4 linked regions of the Macaca fascicularis genome follow. The protein of the gene in region 1 purifies or fractionates together with the protein of each later gene. This does not show direct contact. Links are inferred from orthologs where the notes say so. Each region holds a gene or a part of one and is shown on either strand. Other genes may lie near its edges. The genes, in order: SMC1A, PDS5A, NIPBL and PDS5B.

The links.
Region 2: the proteins of SMC1A (region 1) and PDS5A purify together in Homo sapiens (co-immunoprecipitation; 8 studies listed by BioGRID and IntAct, with this or other methods). This does not show direct contact. The link is inferred for Macaca fascicularis from reciprocal best matches to the Homo sapiens genes SMC1A and PDS5A.
Region 3: the proteins of SMC1A (region 1) and NIPBL purify together in Homo sapiens (affinity purification with mass spectrometry; 3 studies listed by BioGRID and IntAct, with this or other methods). This does not show direct contact. The link is inferred for Macaca fascicularis from reciprocal best matches to the Homo sapiens genes SMC1A and NIPBL.
Region 4: the proteins of SMC1A (region 1) and PDS5B purify together in Homo sapiens (affinity purification with western blotting; 8 studies listed by BioGRID and IntAct, with this or other methods). This does not show direct contact. The link is inferred for Macaca fascicularis from reciprocal best matches to the Homo sapiens genes SMC1A and PDS5B.

Annotation. Positions count from the first base shown.
Region 1 is NC_088395.1:53,398,790-53,402,595, reverse strand, and holds part of SMC1A (structural maintenance of chromosomes protein 1A), read left to right. Parts: intron 1-225; coding exon 226-308; intron 309-461; coding exon 462-669; intron 670-3,731; coding exon 3,732-3,806. UniProt on the Homo sapiens protein: Involved in chromosome cohesion during cell cycle and in DNA repair. Central component of cohesin complex. The cohesin complex is required for the cohesion of sister chromatids after DNA replication.
Region 2 is NC_088379.1:39,173,357-39,177,162, reverse strand, and holds part of PDS5A (sister chromatid cohesion protein PDS5 homolog A), read left to right. Parts: intron 1-1,774; coding exon 1,775-1,935; intron 1,936-3,806. UniProt on the Homo sapiens protein: Probable regulator of sister chromatid cohesion in mitosis which may stabilize cohesin complex association with chromatin. May couple sister chromatid cohesion during mitosis to DNA replication.
Region 3 is NC_088380.1:37,299,532-37,303,337, reverse strand, and holds part of NIPBL (nipped-B-like protein), read right to left. Parts: coding exon 2,538-3,806; intron 1-2,537. UniProt on the Homo sapiens protein: Plays an important role in the loading of the cohesin complex on to DNA. Forms a heterodimeric complex (also known as cohesin loading complex) with MAU2/SCC4 which mediates the loading of the cohesin complex onto chromatin.
Region 4 is NC_088391.1:12,291,631-12,296,217, reverse strand, and holds the start of PDS5B (sister chromatid cohesion protein PDS5 homolog B), read right to left. Parts: upstream 3,045-4,587; 5' UTR 2,901-3,044; intron 2,441-2,900; exon of another isoform or gene 2,062-2,440; intron 1-2,061. UniProt on the Homo sapiens protein: Regulator of sister chromatid cohesion in mitosis which may stabilize cohesin complex association with chromatin. May couple sister chromatid cohesion during mitosis to DNA replication.

The sequences.
Region 1 (3,806 bases):
CCTGTGAGAGGTTCTGGAGATCTGGGAGGCCCCCATCATCAGTTAGTAGATCCAACCGAACACCATCTATGTCTGCTTTTTAGTAGGCCTCCTATATTAGTGACAGATTATCCTGGACTGTTGGGCTCTTGGATGAGTGGGCACATAAGGGGTGTTATCTAGGGCTCCCGTGGTCTTGGCGTAAACTTGTGCAGCCCTTGGTGATAGAATACGTTTGTTTCCCAGGCCAAGATCAAGCAAAAGCTGCGGGAAATTGAAGAGAATCAGAAGCGGATTGAGAAACTGGAGGAATACATCACCACTAGCAAGTATGTAGCTCTGCAACTGTCCCCCTTACTTCCAGGCCTGTTCTTGTGACCCTACCTACCTGCCCATCTTCATGCAGGACCCCCAGAGCCTCTCTGAGCCAGGAGTATTTTTCTCACCAGCAGGAGTAACTCCTGTGTGCCGTCACTTTGTAGGCAGTCCCTAGAAGAGCAGAAGAAGCTAGAGGGGGAGCTGACAGAGGAGGTGGAGATGGCCAAGCGGCGTATTGATGAAATCAATAAGGAGCTGAATCAGGTGATGGAGCAGCTAGGGGATGCCCGCATTGACCGTCAGGAGAGCAGCCGCCAGCAGCGAAAGGCAGAGATAATGGAAAGCATCAAGCGCCTTTACCCTGGCTCTGTGGTAAGAGCAGAGGGGGAACTCATTTCCTGAGTACTTACACTCACTGTCACACGATTTTCCCAGCAGCCCTTTGAGGACCAGGTTGCCAATCCTATTTTTATTGTCAGGGGAAATGAGGCTCGGAGAGGTTTAAAAAAGCACCGCTTCTAAGTGGAAGAACTGCAGTTCAAACCCAACTTGTTCTCCTAAGCTCATGTTCCTTTTTTTTTTTTTTTTTTTTTTTAAATTTTTCAACCTGTCATACTAGGCAATCATGTTCTTTTCATCATAACAATTACGTTTTTCTGAAGGGTTTGTCTTGCTGTGTCCATGCCTCTGGGAGGGGAATTGGAAAACCAGGAAAGATTTTGGAGGCAGGTGGGACCATGGGGCTGGAATTACTCTCCCAGGAAATAGCTCTGTGCAGTCTTCTATATGGGCTCTCTTGGCATGTATTAACTGGCCCAGTAGCTTTTAGGGACACCCTGAGCTTTATCAGACCTCTTGATCTTTTGACCTCTTTCACCCAATCCTGAGTTCCCAGGTTCCTTGAATATTATCCCATACCTGGGTTCAACTTAGTTTGGTTCCACTAATATTTCCCTGTCACTTCTCTAGAGGCTCTGCTGGGGAGGTAGGTATGATTAGAGTCAGTCCCTGCTCTCTTAATCTGATAGTTCTTAGGGAACCAGGCTTGGTTTTGGAGACTGCGGGAAGGGAACTGGTAAAAGAGATGGATTGATTGATTGATTGATTGATTGATTGATTTTGAGATAGAGTCTTGCTCTTTCGCCCAGGCTAGAGTGCAGTGGCACAACCTCGGCTCACTGCAATCTCTGCCTCCTAGGCTCAAGCGATTCTCCTGCCTTAGCCTCCCAAGTAGCTGGGATTACAGGTGCCCACCACCATGCCCAGCTAATTTTTTTGTATTTTTAGTAGAGACAGGGTTTCACCATGTTGGCCAGGCTGGTTTTAAACTCCTGATCTCAAGTGATCTGCCCGCCTCAGCCTCCCAAAGTGGTAGGATTACAGGCGTGAGCCACCACGCCCAGCCAGATTTATTTCACTAAGTACTTGTGAAAATTTGAAATAATATATGTAAGATATTTGGCATAGTGCCTGGGTGGCGGTGGTCTGTAAAATGGTAAATGAGGTTTAGAAAGATGATCCTGGATTCAGACACGACTGCTTGAAGTCATTGCTTGGGAGCCATAATAGTCTTTTTCTTTATAGGATGGGGGCTGTGTTCTTCTGTGAGATAGGGAAAAACCGAAGTGTTTTTTCTACTCTCACACAACCAGCACAACACTTCACTTCTGACACCAGAAGTTTTGGGGTTTTTCCTCACACACCAAGCAATTCTCCAGCAGACACCAGCTGGGTGACCTATAATTCACTTCAACTCTGACACTATTTATCTGGAGATAGCATCAGATCCCATGGGTTAGGGGCTCAGTCTAAGACTTCAGATGCCAATTGCAAGTCTCAGGTTGTGACTTGTGGTTCTGACTGACCTGCTGTAAATTACAGTTCCTGAGAATCCCTCCCTGGGTTCGATTAATTTACTAGTGCAGCTCACAGAACTCAGGAAAATGTTTTACTTATGTTTACCCATTTATTATGAAGGATATTACAAAGGATGCAGAGAACAGCCAGATGGATGCATAAGGCAGGGTATGGGGGAAGAGGTGTGAAGCTTCCATGCCCAATCTGGGCAAGCCACCCTCCAGGTACCCCCACACAGGGGCTTCATTATGTAGGCCTGATTGATCAAATCATCAGCCATCGGTGATCAGTTCAAACTTCAGCCCCTCTCCCCTTCTGAAGGTTGTGGGGGTGGAGCTAAGAGTCGCAAATCTCATCCTGCCTTGGTCTTTCTGGTAACCAGCCCCTATCCAGAAGCTATCTATGGGCCTCTAGCCATAATCATCTCATTAACATACAAAATGCTCATTCCTGAGATTCTAAGGGTTTTAGGGGTTGTGTGTCGGGAACTCCCGCGTAGAAGACTAAATATATATTTCATAAAACACCACAGTCCACTTTGATCTTCAAACGCAGATCCGTTACATCAGAACAATCATGTAATAGAAAGAGGCTGGGGGCCAGCGGATCACTGGAGGTCAGGAGTTCGGGACCAGCCTGGCCAACATGGTGAAACCCCATCTACTGAAAGTACAAAAATTAGCTGGGCATGATGGTGGGCACCTGTAATCCCAGCTACTCAGGAGGCTAAGGCAGGAGAATCACTTGAACCTGGGAGGTGGAGGTTGCAGTGAGCCGGTATTACGCCCCTGCACTCCAGCGTGGGCTGCAGAGTGAGACTTCGTCTCCCAAAAAAAGTAGAAAAATAACTGGTACATTACTAGAATCCCATTTAGTCATTAATTAATAATTAGTTTAGTCCATGATCATGTCATGAAAATGTTTCCTAGGGTGAGACCATTCAGGTTTGCAGGCTTTTATTCAATCTTGTTAGGTTCCAAAATGAGGAGTGTTCTCAGCAAACATAGCTTCACACTTTCAGGCATCTGGGATAATTGTGCTAAGAGACAATATCTCATGCTCTGAACCTGTTTTGAGGTGTTAATATAATACTGAGTTTCCCTCATTACATAACTCATTTATTCTTTACCTCCCTTCTGTTGCCCAAACTTTTCCACCTTTGGAAGGGACATTAGGATTGGCCACTGTGCTGATCTAGAGTGCACACAGCAAGCCAGTCTACAATTGCCTCCTCCTCAGTCCATACAGTTCCATTCAGTTAAGGTAGGGTTACTTGGGTACAGAACTAGTGGGCTGTCTTTTTTGTTTGTTTTGAGACAGGGTCTTATTATGTTACCCAGGCTGGTCTTGAACTCCTGGACTTAAGCGATCCTCCCACTGCAACCTCCCAAGTAGCTAGGATTACAAGCACACACCACCATGCTTGGTATTGGGTTATCTTAACCACTAGGCAATACAGTTGCGTTCACTTCCTGATATAGATTCTAGTCTGTCCCCCTTTCCACACTGGGAATTAGGATTCCTGAGCCAGCTCCCAAAAGCTTCATACTTCAGTTTTCCCTTCCTACTTTACTCAGTATGGCCGCCTCATTGACCTGTGCCAGCCCACACAAAAGAAGTATCAGATTGCTGTAACCAAGGTTTTGGGCAAG
Region 2 (3,806 bases), on another chromosome or scaffold:
AATAAAGTACAAAAATTAGCTAGACATGGTGGCACACGCCTGTAGTCACAGCTACTTCGGAGGCTGAGGCAGGAAAATCGCTTGAACCCGGGAGATGGAGGTTGCAGTGAGCCGAGATCGTGCCACTGCACTCCAGCTTGGCGTCAGAGTGAGACTCTGTCTCAAAAGAAAAAAAAAAATCATTTCATTGATAGAATTGATATGATGCCTCATGAATAAGATTTTAATTAATTTTTTTAGTAATTGAGTTGTATTTTTAAGTTCTCTTAAAAGTGAAACCACCTTTAAGGTAACATTTTTTAATAGATTGGTTTTTATTACATTTTTCTAATTTAATTCTCCAGTTTTCTATAAATAATCAAAACCACGTAAGTAAATATTATCACTGCAAGCCTTGCCAAATGAGACAGTAGCACTTAATGACCATTAAATAAGTGCTTATTGAAAAATTAATGAAGACCACCTGCTCATTCCCCTTTCTCCCTGCTTCTCTATTTGCCTCCCTAATCTTGATACTACACTAACTGAATTGTTATGAATTGTATGGAAAGTTAACTCTTTAGACATGTATCTAACTTGCTAAAAATTATTTAAGAACAGGCTCGTGCTCATGTCATAATAAGGGAATAATTATGTATTGTAATCATAATTAAAAGTTCACAATAGTGGCTTCTTTGTTGATAATTATGATGAGTGATTTCACTTGAAATATTTTCTTGCCTTGGTACAGTGGTTTATGCCTGTAATCCCAGCCAAGGCAGGAAGATCTCTTGAGCACAGGAGTTGGAGACCAGCCTGGGCAACATAGCTAGACCTCATCTCTACAAAAAAAAAAAAAAAAAAAAAAACGCCGGGCGCGGTGGCTCACGCCTGTAATCCCAGCACTTTGGGAGGCTGAGGTGGGCAGATCATGGGGTCAGGAGATCGAGACCATCCTGGCAAACACGGTGAAACTCCGTCTCTATTAAAAGTACAAAAAATAAGCCGGGCATGGTGGCGGGCACCTGTAGTCCCAGCTACTCAGGAGGCTGAGGCAGGAGAATGGCGTGAAACTAGGAGGCGGAGCTTGTAGTGAGCTGAGATCAGGCCACTGCACTCTAGCCTGGGCGATAGAGTGAGACTCCGTCTCAAAAAAAAAAAAAATTTTTTTTAGCTGGGCTGGTGCACCTGTAATCTCAGCTCAGGAGGCTGAGACCACAGTGAGCTGTGATGTTCCACCGCACTCTAGCCTAGGTGACAGAGTGAAATCCTGTCACAAAAAAAAAAAAGAAAAAAAAATTCTCATAGATTATCTTTTTGCCAGTCAAAGAAAGCTCTGAGTTAGCATTTTGTTTACATTACACAAAGATTGAGTCATTACGTATGGAGGTTTTATTTCAAGTAAGCATTCCTTCATCTAAATACAATATATTTATAAACTGATAATAGTTATTAATATTGTAAATCACATTCCATAAAAAAGGAGTTTTGTGTTCTAAGTAGCAGAGTAGACTAAGAGGTGAAGAAGAAAATAGGACAAAGGCTGTCTGTCAGTTGTGTGAAGGAATAACTGGGAGCTACTACACCACACAGTATTTCTGATAATGTCTAATTAGCCATAACTAACTGCAAGGGTGGCTAGGAGATGTATCTCTATTCTGTGTAGCTAGCATATTTACCCCAGAATTTATTTATGTATGTATTTATTTATTTATTTATTTATCACGGGAAGTATTTCTTTTTTAATGGATTAAAACAATTGTCTGTACTTCTAAAGCTGTATCTATTTTTTCAGGTTCTGTCTTTCACACATCCTACCTCGTTCCACTCTGCAGAGACATATGAGTCCTTGTTACAGTGCCTAAGAATGGAAGATGACAAGGTGGCAGAAGCTGCTATTCAAATTTTTAGAAATACAGGTCACAAAATAGAAACAGACCTTCCCCAGATACGATCGTGAGTACATTTTTTGTCCCATGGTAAATACAAAAGTTTCTAAGTGTGGGAACCATAAAATCATTGTTTTCCTTTTGTATAGGAAGTTGGGAGAGAGGAAAGACAATTTTGATTTAAAAGCTACTTTTCTGTGTCCTCTGTTTTGTCTTTCCCTTGCCTTACACCCCTCTCCCACCATTAGAATGTAGGCAGCAGAGTAAACTGAAACTACATGTTTGTTTATAACAAAATCATTTTAAGATATTAAGAATCAAAGGTTATCCCATAATTTAGTGTTTTATTTATGATTAATATCTTTCTAATCCATGTATATTCATCTTTTTTTCTGTAAATGGGTTATAAATTCAATAACTGTCACACTGCTATCCTACCAAAAAATGGGGCAAATAGTTCACTTTGGCATCTTAAAAATGTTAAGGTGAAACTTGTGCTGAGATGTTATATTTAGACTTAAAATATGCAGAAGACATCTTCTGGAGGAAAAAATACATTGCAAATGGCTGTTGAATCATATGTATTTGCAAGTAGTTCAAGGTCTATTGAACTACATACCATTTTCCTCTTATGGTAATCATAGGACAAGCAGTCTCCTGAAGTTTTTATTAAATTTGTGAACTTATAGTTTAACTTGTGAAAAATTCAGTGTTCATTGTACATTCTCTTCATTCTCAGCATTGTCTGGCTAATAAAAAAAGTTACCACAATCAGTCCCTGCCCTCGAGGAGTTTGTAGACTAGAAATAATAAACTTTATATGTATACATTATTAAAAAAAGATTATTGACACAATAGGATAGATTTTGATAAGTTTTTCAAGGGAGGAAATCCTATACATTTTTTTAAGGCAAAGGATCTATTCTTAGAGAAATTCCACCCCAAAGGAAGCAATTGAAAATGGGTATAGGTAGAAGAGGTAACTTTGGACGTGAGGAATAAAATACCTCATTCATAAGATTAATGGAGGAGAAAGGAGATAATCACTGGAAAGAAGAAGAGCACAACACTAAAGACCTCAATAACATCTCTGATGGCATCACTGGATTATACTGCTCTATAAAAAAACAAGAAGAAAGATTAAAGTTGACTTTCTGTATTATTTTATTTGGCTAATAATAATTAATAATACATTTAACAACAGTTTGATTGAAACTGTCTTCCTTTGTCATTCACGTGTTATTTTATAAGAGATCATAGTCTGGTAAATGGAACGGTGAAAGACTAAACAGATAGGAGAGAGGAAAGACATCTTCCGTGTAGAAGTGTGGCCAAGACTCAGTCAAGGAAGTCTATTTGGGCATGGACATCCCTATCTCATAATTCCAAAGTCCATAGAGACAAACTTCAGGCATATTTATAAATGTCACATCAGACTTACACCAACTAGCATATGTTCCCATTTTTGGTTAAGGTGCATGGCCTGGAGCCTGCAGTATAGCTTTTCATATCTAGCCTTCCATTATCATAAGAGGGCATTGTCACCCCTGCATTCATTTGATACCACTAACTTTATAATCTATGAAACAGGCTCTTCTCTAATAACATTAAATATATGACAAATATCTTTCCTTCTATGTTTGTTTCGCTTTATCAATTTTCTTTTTTTTTTTTTTTTTTTTTTTGAGACGGAGTCTCGCTCTGTCGCCCAGGCTGGAGTGCAGTGGCGCGATCTCGGCTCACTGCAAGCTCCGCCTCCCGGGTTCACGCCATTCTCCTGCCTCAGCCTCCCGAGTAGCTGGGACTACAGGCGCCCACAACCGCGCCCGGCTAATTTTTTGTATTTTTAGTAGAGACGGGGTTTCACCGTGGTCTCGATCTCCTGACCTTGTGATCCGCCCGCCTCGGCCTCCCAAAGTGCTGGGATTACAGGCGTGA
Region 3 (3,806 bases), on another chromosome or scaffold:
TGTATCCTAAAGAATATTTTCTATATGAACAACTGGTAAAATATTTAAAAGATGGAAATTTATGGCTTTTCAATTTTGGCCCTAGGAACCAACCATAAAAGTATCCCAGCAATATTCAGACTAATTCCTTTACTCAGAAAATCATCAACACATCAAAATGTGATTTTCTGTGAATCTCCAAAGAAAACCCCAATATGTACTACAAAGGGTAAGTAATCTACAACTGTGCTTCATGTACATGCAATTAAAAAAATCCACAATTAACCAACTCTGCTATTTAAACTGAGTAGCAAAAATCTAAAATAAAACCAAAATTAGAACATTACTAAAAAAAAAAAAAAAAGATACGGATCCTAAGACATAAATAAATTAATCCAAAAGATAGCTACATGGCATCCTGAAATGAATTTAAGCACTGACACAGTATTTTTTGATGAAAAGGACTGTTATTGTAATTGCAGTTACATTAATATATGTGTATATATACATAAACATGCACATGTACACATACATACACATCACTCAGACACCCAGATAGCTTACTTACATACTAACATGACCATATCAGGTATATACATCTGCATTAAAAGTATACTATCAGAAATGCATTTTGGTGCTAAAAACTTATTCATAGGCCATATTACTGCATGTGAAAAAACCAGGTGAAATAATACAGCAATTACTAACTAAAAGCTATATTCACTTCTGGATGTTCTTTAAGGAGTTGTAAAAGACTCTTTGTTAGAACAGAGTTTAGAAAGCAAGGCTAGGGTAAGCTGAGAGGGGAGGGAGAGAAAGATGGTCCAGATCAAAGGAACAAGAGGGTACCACTTTCCATCTTTCACCTGACTCTTCTAAAATTGTATAGCCATACTCTTTAGTTTATAAATATAAGCTACTCCCAAACTTTCGCTAAAAAATTTTAAAGAAAATCTTTACCTAAAAGAAAACAAATCTAGTGTTAACTCCCGCATTCTACAACCTCTTTCATATTAACAAGTAACTCTGAAAAGACACATTCCAGTTAAATTAAAAAGGCTACTTATTGAGGCTGATGTCTTAATTGATTTTTGGTCTAATTGCTATAATCTAAAAATTAAAAGCTTCACTCAAAGAACACAAATATTAGTAACTCAGAAGGCAATATTTTTTCATTTTTGTAAGGCAAAATCAAATAAATTAACAGTGAAGAAATGAATGCTGACGAAGACCAAGCAAGAATAACAACAGATGAGCCACAAGTCATTCTTTGAATAGAGTTCTTTATAATATGTTTTCAAAGAGTTTTCTTGGTAGACAAGTTACAACAGCATGTTATGAAAACAATAACCACACACTTTTCATATCTGCTAATGCACTGCAGTGCTATGCAATACAACTTTCTGTGATGATGCAAATGTTCTGTTTTGTCCAATACGGTAGCCAATAGCCACGTATGACAACTGATGAAATGAACTTTCAATTTTAGTTAATTTAAATTTAAATAGCCAAAAAAGGTAATGGCTACCATCTCAGCCAATGCAATTCCAGATTTCATATACTTGGTTACATATAAGTTTAAATCTAAATTCTTAATAATTCTCTTTCACAGAAGGAAAACTCAAAATCAAATAAACTCTCAGTTCTATCGCCTTCACTACACCTCAATATATTTAGACTGCATGGACATGGTGGCTCACGCCTGTAATCCCAGCACTTTGGGAGGCTGAGACAAAAGGATCGCTTGAGGCCAGGAGTTCGAAAGCAGCCTGGTCAACAAAGCAAGAAGACCTCATCTCTATTTAAAAATAAAAAAAGTTATTTTAAATACTTGTGTACAAACGGATACAAAAGTATATCTTCTGCACAAATGGTCATTATTTTTTGGCACTTAAGACATTCTTATCCCTTTGGAAATAATCTTACTCAAGTAACCAGAGAATTTAACTCAGAAACCATGCAAAAATAACACCAGTCCCCCTGCCTCCCACAAACTTACAATTTAACCAAATTTAAAAAGTAAGTACCGTTCCCTATTACCTTTGCATAAACAAGGACAAAAAGATATGTTTTAAAAATATAAAACATATTTAACTAACCATCTCCCCAACAAAATGAAAAATAACCTTTTATATAACTTTCTAAACTATACAAACTATTCATCGATAATTAGCTCAAACACAGGTCTGTAAGAATATAGTATTGTAAGACTATAGAGAGTTTTTAAAGACAGCTATTTTAATACAACATTCACTTGATTAACATAAGAAATAACGAATATAAGAAATAATTAAACAGCCAAATAACTTATCTCTGTGTAACCAAATAGCAGTAAGATTCATAACTACCTTGAGTAGTGGGTGGGAAGAAAAAAACTGTGGGGAAAAAAAATTCATTGGAAACCTTTATCTATACTTCTGAAAAAAATTTACTGTTGTTTGACATAGATGTTATATTTTCACGTAGTAGCTTTCTAATTTTTGTAAATTTCCTTTTTAATACTTAGTAACCTTAGCACTTAAAATCGATTATATTATAAATGACATCAGTATTCTTACCTTTATTTGACTTTGATGGTTTATTCTTGATAGGTTTAAGGGAACTTCTTGATTTGTCCTCTCTATCTTTAATAAGTTTCTGAACATCATCCAAAGACAGTTTTTGTAGAACAACTACAGGCTTAGCTCCTTTATTTAGATCTTCAACTAATCCTATTTTTTCTACTTTGTCTTTCTGCTCTCCTTTCATTTCCATTTTCTTTGTTTCCTGAGTAACATTGCCATCTTTATCCCTCTTGATTTTCGGAATGACAAAATTTTTCAATGCACCAGACCTGCCCCCCAACAAATAACTTGGAAATTCTGCCTTATTGTCAGGGTGTGCTTTATTAGTGTCTACTTTACTCTTGTTACCCTCTGTCCTTTTGTCATCTTTACTATTTGGTGATTTAAAACCAGGTTTATCAGATCTTGATTTATTAGAATCTCCTTGTTTAACACGAGGACTGTCAGGTCTTGATTTTTGTTCCCCAGAAGATGGTCTTTCCCTTGGGTCCCCTGATTCATGCCTGTGTTTTCGTTCTAGTTTATCAGTTTTTGAACTATCAGATTTAATGCCATGTTCATTTCTACTAGAGGATCTCAATGTTTCTGGTCTTCGAACCCTAGACTGATCTCCTCGATGTCGCTCTGATTCACCCCTGTCATCTGATTTTTGTTTATTATCATGGTCACGTCTTAGTGACTCAGAAATAGATCGCCCATCAGGTCTCTGCTTTAAGGCTTCAGCTCGTTCTGATTTTAACCGAGGTGAGTCAGATTTAGTATCTTGTTTATGTTTAGACACTTCAGGTTTTTTCTCCGTAGATGGCTTTCCAGAATCCCTCCTATTGTCATGCCTGTGTTTTGGTGTTTCAGGTCGCCCTTCATTTTTTTGCTTTGGAGTTTCAGGGCGGCTTTCACCTTTTTGCTTTGGAGTTTCAGGCCTTCCATCACCCTTCTGTTTTGGGGTTTCAGGACGCCCTTCACTCTTTTGTTTTGGAGTCTCAGGCCGGCTTTCACCCTTTTGCTTTGGGGTTTCAGGCCTTGATTTTGTTGTTTCTGATCTGCCATTATTTTGTTTGTTGTCATTTGGTTTTGTGTCAGACAGTCTATTTTCATTTTGTTTAGGCTCAACTACGGTGCTCTCGTTTTGTTTGCATTCAGTTGTTCTGCTCTCATTCTGTTTAAGTTCTTCTGTTTGGGTCTCAACTTTAGTTTCTAACTTATTTTCAGTTGATTTTGTCTCCACCAATCGGTTTTCATTTGGTTTAGATTCTGACAATCTGC
Region 4 (4,587 bases), on another chromosome or scaffold:
CTACAAGAGGTTATCTTCTGAGACAACCTAAATGGACTGAATCCTAAACAGAAATTATTAAAAACCAGACGCTGAAACAGATGGCTAACCACAAAACTTTATTCTTGGTTAAATGAATAAAAAGGTGAGAAGGGGATGGAAGGTAATGTGCTACCCTGAATTTTTATTAATAAATATTGCTAAATCCTGAATAGAACAAAAAAAAGACAATGGGGAAACTTCTCAGCTTCCAGGATATCTAAGAGCTGCCCCAATTCCACCACATGAATACGACTGTGACCTCAGATAAATCAATGAAATTAAAATCTGAACCGAATTTCTCATGTATAAGCGAGTTGGAGATCATCCTTAAGTTTTCTTGTTGCTCTCTAACACTAACGGAGGAAACATAAATAACTTTTCCAATATAAGTTATATACAGTCCATGTCATTCAAGAGTCCATAAGCCAAATCTTACTGAGCGCACTCCTGTTAGTTCTAAGGCAGTCTCTAAATTTCCCAAGAGGAATAAGCAGAAAGAATACAACTTCCCGAAATATTCCTTTCTCACAAAGTTTTGGGTATTTTCTACCATTGCATTCTTCTCCAGGGCAAGCCCTAACACAAAGTATTACTTTATCTTAGGCCTAACAAATTATTGATAAAGCCTACTCCTCAAAATGTTACTTTGTTAAACAAAGCTGCAGAACAATTTAAACAACTTTCATCAAACAGCCAACTCGGTAGAATCTTACTACAAGTAAGCTTAATACAAACATCTCACGACAAGAATCACTATCATCAGTACATGTGTCTCTAATACGGGGGTAAAAATGAGAGGGGAGAGACATAACACGAGAGAATAAAGGCGACAAGAGTAACAAAAGCTGCTGTAAAAGGTAATATAGGGAAAATCAGCCTTAACCAAAACAAGGAGAAAAGAAAAAAAGAAAAAGGGTGAACACAAACACTACCTTCCCATTTAAAATACACCTTTAAGTAAACGCCAGCTGAGAAGAGGACAATTTTTTAAACCATCAGAAAAAGGAGGAAAAAGTCACTATTTGGATAATTTTTATAAAGTCTAAAGTGCATCTTTTTACATATACTTGTAAACGTATATTAAGCACAAATCTTATTTCTAAGGAATAACGTTCTTAAAATGTTTTTAGTTTCTGACAATCAATCGATCTTAACATAAAAGGTCCCATGTAACTTTCACCTATTCACCACTACAAATTTTAATTCGGTTTTCTGCTATCACCATGAGATACAAGATTAACTGTTCCACGAACTGACCCACATACACCATTGAATACTCATTTCATTGTCCCTAAAGATGCGAACATCTCAGACATGTGTACTGCATAACGAGCTGTCTTTCAAGTCCATATTTGTGGCTTTTAACTAGTTTACCTGACCACTACATGAGTTAATATAAAAAACGTTCTGTCTGGGAACTCTGGATGGGTTAACTGAGAACAACGACTATATTGCCGTTCAAGTATTGGGTAATGACGATTTATTTACAGCTCGCCTCCTGCATGTAAACACAACGTGAGTTTTTGAAGTTTATTAGGAAGATGGTATAGGATTACCCAACTCTCTCCACACCGCAGACCAACCCTCTAAATTAAAGCTATATCCAAAGTTTCTGAAACTATTTCATCGACAGGGTAGGATCAGTCGGGGCACCACTGCCCATCCATCACCTCTTATTAAAAGTACAAGAAGCACTTTCTTCGACATAAAAAAGGGTTAACCCTTGCTGGGGTAGAGAGGCTGTTGAAGACGCGCGCGGAATGGGTGGGTAGCTGCTCTTTCAACCCTTCCCGGAGCTCGCCCCGTCCGCGGCAAGGAACGCAGCAGCCTGCAGTTCCGAAGGCGAGGGGCGGCGTTTCTGGTTTCAGTCATTCCTCCAAAATAACTGTCGAGCTACTTCAGAGTTAGCTTTCACGTCTCTACCAAAAACCAACAGCAGTAGCAGCAACAACAACAAACAAGGTTTTTCTCCGGACCGAAAACTTTTAAAGTAGCATTAAAATAACAGTGCAAAAACATTAACGAGTCACAATTGCACACCATTTTCCCCGCCGTTCCTTCCGAAAGGAAAGCTAGAACCCAGTTGTCGCCTGGGAGGAGTCCCTCCACGCCAGCGCTGGGCTCTTGCTCAACGGGGTCCTCAGGTTCCCCGAGCACCCACTCCGGGCGGCGCGGTGAGCGCGATTTCCCTCGGGCAAGCAGCGAGGAACAGCGCAAAAATGTCATGCTCAGCCCGTCCCCTGGCCCGAAGCGCAGGCCAGGCGGCGCGCGGGGAGCCGGCGACGAGGGCGAGGGCGAGGGCGCCCGCGGCCCCGACCCGCGGTCCCCGCCCGCCCCTCGCCCGGAAGGGGGAGAAGCCCGCCCGCGGGAGGATTCAACAGGAGCACCGCGCCGCCCGCCTGCCGCCCGGGAAACAGCCGCCGGCCGGCCGGGGCGCGGGGGGAGGGGCGCGGCGGCGGCGGTGGCGGCGGGAGGGCGCGGGCGGCCGGGCGGCCCCGGGACCCCAGCCCGCGCGCAAGGTCACCGCCCGCCGCCGCCGCCGCCCGGGCCGGGATCAGAGCGGCAAGTTTAATTTCCAGAGGCTGCGGCAGAGCCCGCGGCGTGGAGGCGCGAGTCGGCCGCCGGGCCCTCCCCACCCCCACCGCGCAGCCGGCCCGCGCCCCGCGACCCCCGCCCCGGGCCGCCGCCAGGCAGCCGCCCGCTGCAGCCCCCGATGCCGGGAGGCGAGTCGCGCCTGGCACCCGGGCGGGCGGCGCTTCAGCCCTGCCACACACACACACACACACACACACACAGCTGCAGTGGCGGCCACCGAAAAATGGAGCGCCGCGGCCAGAGAAGAGAGACATTTTCTTTCCGTTAACTGAATTGTTTCCTACCTCCGGGTTTCCGACTCGCTACTCCTCTCACTCCGCGGCTCTCCGGGATCCGCCGCCGCCGCCGCATCCAATCGCCTTCTCTCCCCCCTCCCCTTCCGCAGCCAGCCCGGCCGTTCCTCCTCCTCTCCGCTTCAAAATGGCGCCAAGCGCTCTTCGGCGGCTGCTCCAATCGAACCGCCGCGGACAGCACCCGGGGGCAGGCAGAGCGCGGCATGGGTGCGCAGCGCCCCCTGCCGACCAGACGGCCCCGCGCGCGCCCGCCCTCCGAGCTCCGCCCCGCCCCGTCCGCGCGCGCGCACTCCCCTCCTCAGCCCCGCCCCGTCCGCGCGCACGCAGCCACACGGGCACGCCGCCGCGGAGGCCGCGAGACTGGCAGCTGTCAAGGCGTCCACTACCCTTGCAGCTTACTAGACCTCCACCGACAAAAATCATTCCGATTGTTACGTAGCCCTATCTTTTTAGATAAAGATTGGGAGATTTTTTTAAACACTGACATTCAGCACAGGTGTTGTGCTAGGTTAACATAATTGGTATTATTAACTACTTTGCTCCTTGTTAATTCTGACCTAGTCGTCTCGGAATGCCATACAAATAGTTTTCCTACACTTTATGTGTTGTGTCTTTATTAAATCTCCCCGCTTTCCTAATTTGATGAATTGTTCATAGGTGGTAAGCTGGCGGAGACACAGAGTAATTGAGCCTGTGACGAAGCATTCTATTCCTTTGGCAGAATTGTCCTTATTAGAGGAAGACATCATCTGGAGACCACAGGGACACATTCCAGGAGGTGGGTCTCCTCCCCTCTTCACCTTTAGGGGATGCCAGTCCCTCAAGTGGGTTTAGCCTGGTCACAACAGATCACCTACCTTTGGGGAAGCTTTTCCTCCCCTGCCAGAACTGAAGAAGGGACTTCCTCCTCTTTTTACTTTAATATCATCCCTTCTGTAAGGAAGTTTCCCCCGATATGATGTATTTGGTTACTAGAATTTTGTTCCAGGGAGAATTTGTTTCAACAATGAACAAGCAAAGGGTGAATGAATGGATTACAATAGGATACTTATCAACTGAAAGAAAAGATAGGTAATGCTGATCTGTAAACTAATGTTACTGTGCACCTAGAGATACTAGGTGCATTTTCCTCTGTCTGTCCTAATGGTAATTGCCTCATTCACCCTTACCATGTAGCTGTTTTGAAGGCTATCTCCTTTCTGCACCTAGAGATACTGAGACCTCTTCATTTCCATTTTTGTGGGATTTCCTGGACAATTCCGCTTCAGTCTCCTACAGTGCTTGCTAGACCAGTATGTTGTGTTACTGTATTCCTATGTCCAAGATTTTGCCACTGAATACTCCAGGTTCTACCCATTTTACACATTCCTTGATGAAGTCCACTATGAGTTTTTTCTGCTCTCTTTTTAAAATTATCTCAGGAATTTTCTTATTTTACATTGTTGTTCCATCAGCATAAATCTTGTATGGAAGAAGAGAGTAGGATGTCTAGATCTAGAAAAACCTTTCCTCTTTGGTTGTTTTTATCTTTTTTACTTTATTTTCTTCAATTCCCAAACCTCCAAAGCCAGGAAGCAAGAAAGTTTCAGAAGAACGGCAGGATGAGAGCAAGAATTTTTTTTTTCTTTTTTTTTTTTTCTTTTTTTTTTTGAGACGGAGTCTCGATCTGTCGCCAAGC